Linked DNA regions of Sus scrofa. The protein of the gene in region 2 interacts with the protein of the main gene of each other region in a pairwise test. Links are inferred from orthologs where the notes say so. Each region holds a gene or a part of one and is shown on either strand. Other genes may lie near its edges.

The links.
Region 1: the proteins of KCTD6 (region 2) and CTNND1 interact in binary tests that used the Homo sapiens proteins (3 or more experiments, as listed by UniProt). The two-hybrid records come from large-scale screens. The link is inferred for Sus scrofa from reciprocal best matches to the Homo sapiens genes KCTD6 and CTNND1.

Annotation. Positions count from the first base shown.
Region 1 is NC_010444.4:13,206,370-13,210,639, reverse strand, and holds the start of CTNND1 (catenin delta-1), read left to right. Parts: upstream 1-1,408; 5' UTR 1,409-1,655; intron 1,656-4,270. UniProt on the Homo sapiens protein: Key regulator of cell-cell adhesion that associates with and regulates the cell adhesion properties of both C-, E- and N-cadherins, being critical for their surface stability.
Region 2 is NC_010455.5:40,216,982-40,220,544, reverse strand, and holds the end of KCTD6 (BTB/POZ domain-containing protein KCTD6), read right to left. Parts: exon of another isoform or gene 3,459-3,563; 5' UTR 3,416-3,458; coding exon 3,389-3,415; intron 1,889-3,388; coding exon 1,202-1,888; 3' UTR 454-1,201; downstream 1-453. UniProt on the Homo sapiens protein: Probable substrate-specific adapter of a BCR (BTB-CUL3-RBX1) E3 ubiquitin-protein ligase complex mediating the ubiquitination and subsequent proteasomal degradation of target proteins.

The DNA of each region.
Region 1 (4,270 bases), on a different chromosome or scaffold from region 2:
TTGGGCAGGGTAGATACTGGTAGATACTCATTGAATTTATACTATATGGCATACATTGTTTTAAGAACTTTGTGTGTATTTTAATTACAACAGTCCTGTGAGATAGTTATTATCTCCATTTTATGGTTAAGAAACCGAGTCACAGAAAGGTTATATAACCTTTCCAAGGTCACAGAGGATATAGTACATTTACTTGAGTAAGTGTACTCACAGAGGAGGAAAATTTGAAGCCAGTCAGACTACAGAATCTATGCTCTTAACCCCTATTTTATTTATTTATTTATTTATTTTTGTCTTTGCCATTTCTTGGGCCACTCCCGCGGCATGTGGAGATTCCCAGGCTAGGGGTCGAATCGGAGCTATAGCCACCGGCCTACACCAGAGCCACAGCAATGCGGAATCTGAGCCGCGTCTGCAACCTACACCACAGCTCAGGGCAACGCCAGACCCTTAACCCACTGAGCAAGGCCAGGGATCGAACCCGCAACCTCATGGTTCCTAGTCGGATTCGTTAACCACTGCGCCACGATGAGAACTCCTATAATATAACTCTTAACTCAGAAAAAGAATACTTGTTTTTATCCTCTATTTAGGTCAAGCGTAAAAAGGGAATGGATGTCTTAAGCTTCAAGTTCACAAATAAATTGAATTTTCTAGACGTGAGACTTTCTTTTCCTTACACATGCTGTTATCTACTCTAAATATATTGCTTGTTTATGGGATATCATTTATTCTCCCACTCAATGCCACATTATTTTGATTTGGGGATAAATGAGAAGACTGATTTTCCTCAATAACCTAGAGGATTCAGTTTCCTTCTCATTGAAAGCATACACACTAAAAAGTATGAACAAGTCCAAGCATTTATTTTTTCCTAATCAGCCTAAATGCATTTAAACCAAAACAATGAAATTGAGTGTTTACCTCAGATATCCCCTACCATCCCATTCAAGACATTGTAGTCCTGTTTCTAGGATTTCTCTCTCCTTCCCTTCTTGTCTTCCTTTGGGAAAATGCTTTAGGGTAGAAAGCAACAAACTAAATAGCAGTAGGCAAATAAAATCAGCTTTTATTTGCTTCCCCACCCAAAAAGGAAGGAGTAAGAACCCCAGCATCAAAGAGAACTGACGCGCTTAGGCCCTGTCGTTTTAAAAAGCCCTTGTTCCCTAAGCCCCCTTCCCCTAACCCCCCAGCTCTGCAGTAATTCCTCAGAGATCGTACAGTCTCCACTTTAAATATAAATATATATAAAACTTCCCCCTGTCTCTTTTTCCCCTCCTCTCTCTCCTTTTTTTTTTTTTTAATTCCTATAATAAAGTTTCCTATTGGATAAAATCAGCTCCCTGATTTATGCCTGGCTCCGATTGGAAGTTCCCAGGGGCTGACATCACTTAGGAAAGCGAGGGGTAGGGCTGCCAGATCAGTTTGTCACCACCCAGGCTCCCTAGCCTTTGGCTGGGTGCAACTTCCATTTTAGGTGTTGGATCTGAGAGAAAAAAAAAGAGGGAGAGAGAGAAAGAAGAGCAGGAAAGACCCTGAAAGGAGGAAGAGGTGGCGAAAAATCAACTCCCTTGCTGGATTTGTCTTTCTCAGCACGTTGACGAAGGCTTGGGTTTCTTTCTTAGAGGACTGGTTTCTAGAAGTCCACATTTGAGGTGTGTGCCTTTTTAAAAATATGTGTATAGATGGGTGAAGGAGGATAAGCCAAGTCGAATTTTTGTCTTAAGGTAACCGGAGGGAATTTAGAAACAAGAGATTCTGTTACGCTGATGGGTAACTTTTAAGCGGTTATTAATTTTCCTCATTTGGGGAATTTTGGTATTATATTTGAAACAAAGTAAAATATTCAAGAACCAGGAACAAACTTCTGGGTCTCTCTAATATAGGGAGATGAATAGATTCGGAGGGGTGAGGGCAATTCTGTAAATTTGCATTTTGGTGTGTTCTTTTATTTCATATTTTTTTTCTAGGTTAGGCTAACAAACTTCTGTTTTCAGAGCCCAAACCAAAAGTTGGGTTTTTTGGCATGTTGCGTGTGGGTTGGGAAAGGAATTTGTCCGGGTCGGAAGCTAGTTATTCATGTTTTAAAACTTTTTTTTCCCTCCCTTTAATCATTGGATTTGTGAAAGTGGAAAGTTGCAGGGAGTTTTGCAGCTTAAATGGTGGTATTTTTTCCTCTGGAGTTTGAACAGCCCAGATCAGTTTCAGCCCTGCTGTTCCTGGGTGGATCCTTCTTTTACTTTTCCAGGTGCGGTGGGTGGGAGCCTCATTCTCCGGCTAGACTTAGCTCCCTGCTTTGCCTTATAAAAGAAAACAAATGGATCCATGGTAACTGAATCGCCATCTCCTTCCTTCTACAACTACCTTGATGGCAAAGGTTTGTGGAGGTGTAGGTTGAGTTGGCATGTACGATAACCCTTGGTTTCTGTGCTTAAAGGGATAAGGAAATTCTAATCATGCTTTTGCGTTCACCTGAGTAAAGTGGCGATACACATGAAAATATTTTGAGCTTTGTGCTCTCTGAAAGGGCCTTGGATTAAAATAATGATAGGCTAAGACTAAAATACCTATACCAACTTTAGTGTTTAGAAGGCATTTGAGAAAGCAAAAGGGGAATTCTTACTTTTAAACCAAACTGAAAGTTGTTTTTTGGAGGTGAGTTTTTCCTTTGGTTAATTAGCCATGAAATCAGAAATCTGTAAGAGCTGAAGGCTCATGACTGTGCTTTCATATCTTCTATTTAATCTTAAGATTAGTTTTTGTTTTGCAAATACATTCTTTCAAAAATACTGATTCTAGATAATTGTATAGCCAACTCATCAGTAACTGAAAACTGGATGTTTTCTTCCATCTTCTTTGAAAATGAGAATCAGTCTGAAAACTAACTGCAGTAGATACTGCCCTAATTGTAAAAAGATGGGCCTGTGTTAGCTGCTCATTAGCTTTAAACTGGTATGTATGTATAATAATCCTCTGATTTTGTGCCCCTCACCCCTCAATTCTTTTTAGACTAGAATACTTCCTTGGATTTCTTTTCCAGAACAAAAGTGTTTCTTGAAAGATGAGTTCATTCTTACAAGGTTGTGTCTTCAAGGGAAACAGAACTTTGTTTCTCCGTTTAATATAATTTATGCAAGAGCTACAGTAAGATTTTAATGTCTGTATAATTAGGAGTATCTCCTAATTATAGCAAGCGCAGTTACAAAGAAAAAAAGGACAATGTGTACAGTCCATTGGGCTGTAGTTCTTATTTCATTTCCAAATTTTCTTTCAAATGCTCTCTCTGCCTTGACGCCAGCCTAAGGGGGGTGGGGGGGTTCTTGGATCTTTGGAGGATTGGTCATGTTGCTGCCAGAGTGTTGGTTTCCCACTCAACCTTTAGGGGGAGGAATGAGGGAATTTGAAGGAGTACAAAGGCAGTTTGAAAATAGGTTCTGGCTGACTGAATGGTAGTAGTGCTTTGGGTCCAGCTTTAAATACTGGGCTTTGTGTAGCTGCAGTGAGCATTCTAGTTGACTAGCGACCAGGACTATTTCCACGAACTGAGGCATTGTTTTGACTGGGTGTGTACTACTGGAACCTTTTGGATGATAAGATGGAAGAAGACTTGTCTTTTACCTCACCTCTACCTGTTCTTCTAGGAGATATAATAAGGGATGTGAATAAGTAAATCTGTTATTTTTTGTTTGGCTCCTCATTTTGACTTGGGGGTGAAAAATGACGAGTAAGTATGAGTTGTACAGATTTTTCTTTGCTTGTGTGACTCCTATATACTGTTGGTTTCTTTGTTACATGACTAAGGTATGGCCTGTGTTCCAGGTGGGGGTCTCTTTTGGATGCTTAGAGTCCTAGTGCCTTTCCTAGAGTTCCAATTATGGAGAGTCAGGGGGTTAGAACATATTCTTTCAGCTAGGATAAAAATTGGAAACCTTTAAAAAAAAAAAAAGCTTCGAGTAATCGCAATTCAGCGTTAGGTTTATAAGGTAGTTGCTCTCTAGGGATGAGAGATGGGATGGATGTGCAAATACATTAAGCATGGAAATAACAAAATGATTAGCTTTGTATAATTTACTGCTTTCTATTTTGGTACCTGGTAGTCCCCTGTTACCTACTGCCAGCCCTCCCTCCCCCAACCCCCGGCTTGTTTTTTTGCTGAGTGCTAAGCATTTTGCATAAACTATTTGCTTAATTTTCCACAACAACCCTTTGTTGTTGTTGTTGTTGTTTGTTTTTTAAGGAATTTGAGCTTCAGAGAAGCTGAGGTTTGCTG
Region 2 (3,563 bases):
TTCTCCTCAGAAATAAACAACTTTAACAATAAAATACATTTGTGGGGCCGAAGAGTCAAGTTTGTCCATAGAGCTGGAATAAGGGTCACAGAGCAATGGCAATTGGTGGCTCACTAAAGAAAAATCTACAAATCTTCAAAACAAGTCCTATTCAAAAGAAATTTGGCAAACTATATGTTCATTGTCCAAATATGCACTCTTTTAGACAAAACTAATAATTCCATAAATTCGCTACTTCAACAGCAGAGAATTCTATCAACTGCATTCTAAAGTTCCACTGAGTCCTCCAGCATCAAATACTAATGTACCTCAGGCAGTATTTATTGGGTGGCAAGAATTGTTCACTGAACCACCAACACGGGGCAGTATCTATTATGGCATAAAACAAACAATGCATATTTTAGATAAGGAATATTATTTTCTCCCTTTAATAATAATCAATAAATACAAACCTAATTTTCACATTTCATTTTTTATTATTGGTTTTTTGTTTTCCTGGTAGACAGTACACTTGGGAATTATACCTTACCAGGCCTAAGAAGTAAGATTTCTACCACAGGGACATTTTGTATTCAGAATCCAATATAAATATTTCTAGTCAGACATTTCCATGGCTACAGATATTTGGTTGCTTGATTTATATGCATAGAAAGAAACAGTTGTCATAACTGTAAAAGCAGTACTTAACAAGTACTTTTAAATGATTGAACAGTTTTCGTTTAATATTACAATACTGCTTATTGGTTTGAAAACTAGGTCACCCTATATGATGTTCTGATTTTTCTCAAAGGCATCATCATGAGTACTCCGTTTTTTCTTTCATTCCTGCATTTTTAGCCTTCTAGTTGAGTTAGAAACTGTTTAATCAGAAATCATCTTAGCACTGTAATAAAAAAAGGGTTGTTAAGGATAGATTATATACCATAATGATTTTCAGACTTCTTTTTATAAAAAAGGTATCTGGAGGCTCTGAACAGGCACATGCATACTCAGGGTGAAGGGAACCACACAAAGAGGAGTCTGCTAAAGCACAAAACTTCCTGCTGGTCCCCAATGCCTTCAAATAAATACAAATATTAAAAAAAAAAAAAAATCCTCACACTGTGATTTAAAAAACAAAAACAAAAACCAAACAAACAAAAAACAGCCTCTTCAATCTCCTTGGGGAGTCCATTTGTAGGAACTTCTCCCAGGCTGAAGGTCAGTCATCGGTCTTCCGGGCCAGCCTGCAGAAAGTCCAGTTGTGCTCCACTGTGTTCTCGTTGGCCCGCTCACTCATGTGATGCACTCGGGTGTTGCGGATTGTGAAACCTTGCTTTGTAATGTATTCCATCAGATGGACTCGAAGAGAAACTTCCTGGTGATAATCACAGGGTCCAAAAGTAAAGGAAACCTGGCAATCTCTGGTGTCCATCATGTGCTTATTCCACTTCGTAAAATAGTTTGATATACCTTCTAGTAAGGAATGGACCTTGGTGGTAATGGTTAACTGGGTTATGATGACAGCTACTGGATTGGAATACTTAGAAAGCTTCCGAGTACTAGATAACTCCACAACTTCTTCAAAAGTATCCATAGGATACAAAGGCTTGGGGTCATTGAGACACTGAATCAAGGGCTCAATCTGATAAAAGTCTGCTTCTTTCCGAAGCAGATCAAATTCCTTAAAATCCAGGGGTAAAGTCAACTCTGAAGTTCTCAAGAAGTTGAGGACATATCGGAAAAGAGGTCCATCTCGATCAATGAAGTAATTGCCTTGAGGATCTCGAGCTGTGGGGAAGTCCCCCCCAAACATAGCTCCAAGCATGGAATCCGGGTAACGTGTCAACGTGGTGAGAGATGTTGTGTACAAGTGTCCACCTACATTTAACGTGACTGGGTCAGTCATCTGAAATTTTTTAAAAAATGATCAGTCATCTCAATTTTTTTTTTAAATCTTAACTTTGACAAATTAAGAAAATTAATGGTAACAAAAAAAGCAACAGATTCTTTCAGACTAGAACACAGCAATCCACTGAGGCAAAATAGCTTTACTTTTAGTGTGAAACCTACCCAGATGAAGGGATCTAACATTTGTTTCCAACAGAAAAAAAGGGTAAGTCCAATTTTTCAAAGCCTTACACTGAGAAAGGAGGACACAGCTTCCAAAGCCATTTAATTTCAGATCCAGTAACTGGAAGAAGTTTTCAGGTCAGAGTATATTATGGGAAGAGAAAGGCCAAACTAAAATATACTCATTTAAGTTTTATTCTGATTTTTTAAAAAAGAGACTTTCTTTTTTTCTTAATTCAATTTAATATAAAATAGAATCAAAATTATTTAATAACATAAAGACATCTACATTCAGTATTTCTTTGTCTTTTCCTCCCAAAAAAAAAAAAGGCAGGGGAATCATGAGGTTTTTGGTTTTTTTTTTTCCAGTTTGTGTAGACTTCATCTTCCTTTTTCATGGAAATAACAGTACCAAACACTGAGTTTAAAATACACAGTTTGGTCGATACAATCTCATATAGCCGAAAGCTAATAGCAGCTTTCAACTTGCGTCATCTGATAGTGTATTTACTTTTGTAACATTAATGTGGCAATCTGGCCTTTAATTTTGAAAAGCAAGCTTCTCTAAATAATACCTACCTTTGGTTTTAGAAATCACATGTAAGAAATAAAATAAGACAAGTAAAGATAGGTACTCGGCAAGTAAAATATTTCTTAACAAACATTTTCAAATAATAGGAGGACACCTGCACCTGTGCTCGTGAAAGAAGTGGCACCTTCTCAACTGTCAACCTCCCCAACCACAAGAAAATGTCCTCTCTTCTTTTTTTTTTTTTTTGTCTTTTTGCTATTTCTTTGGGCCGCTCCCTCGGCATATGGAGGTTCCCAGGCTAGGGGTCAAATCGGAACTGTAGCCACTGGCCTACGCCAGGGCCACAGCAACGTGGGATCCGAGCAGCGTCTGCGAACTACACCACAGCTCACGGCAATGCCGGATCCTTAACCCACTGAGCAAGGGCAGGGACCAAACCCCCAACCTCATGGTTCCTAGTCGGATTCGTTAACCACTGCACCACGACAGGAACTCCCTGTCCTCTCTTGTTACCTACTAGACACTGAAGAGTTACAATTCTATGAAGGAAGAGCTTTAGGAGCAACATAAAGACTGAAAAAACAAGTCATAAAAAGTTACAAAGAGACTCCATGTTTAGCTTGCTTACCTAAAAACACTGAACAAAATAAAAACACCCCCCAAATGCATCTAAATTAATTGGGAGAGTTACATCACTTATAATTTTCATTCTTATGAAATATACCTAAGAATATATTACATAGGGGGAAAAGACACAAAAAATAATTTGCCAGACTTCAGAATGCATCTGCAAAAGCCTCTCACCATATAGCCCCAGTCTCCATTATCCATCTGCTCCAGTGCTGCGTCTCGGGGAGCCCAGGTTCCAGGGAAACTTGGGGAAGAGAAAAAGACATGTGATAGAGCATGTAACCATGAAAACAGAGAAGAAAGGTTTTCTCACCCAACAGAGTAGGCCAAACACCAGAAAACTACTCAT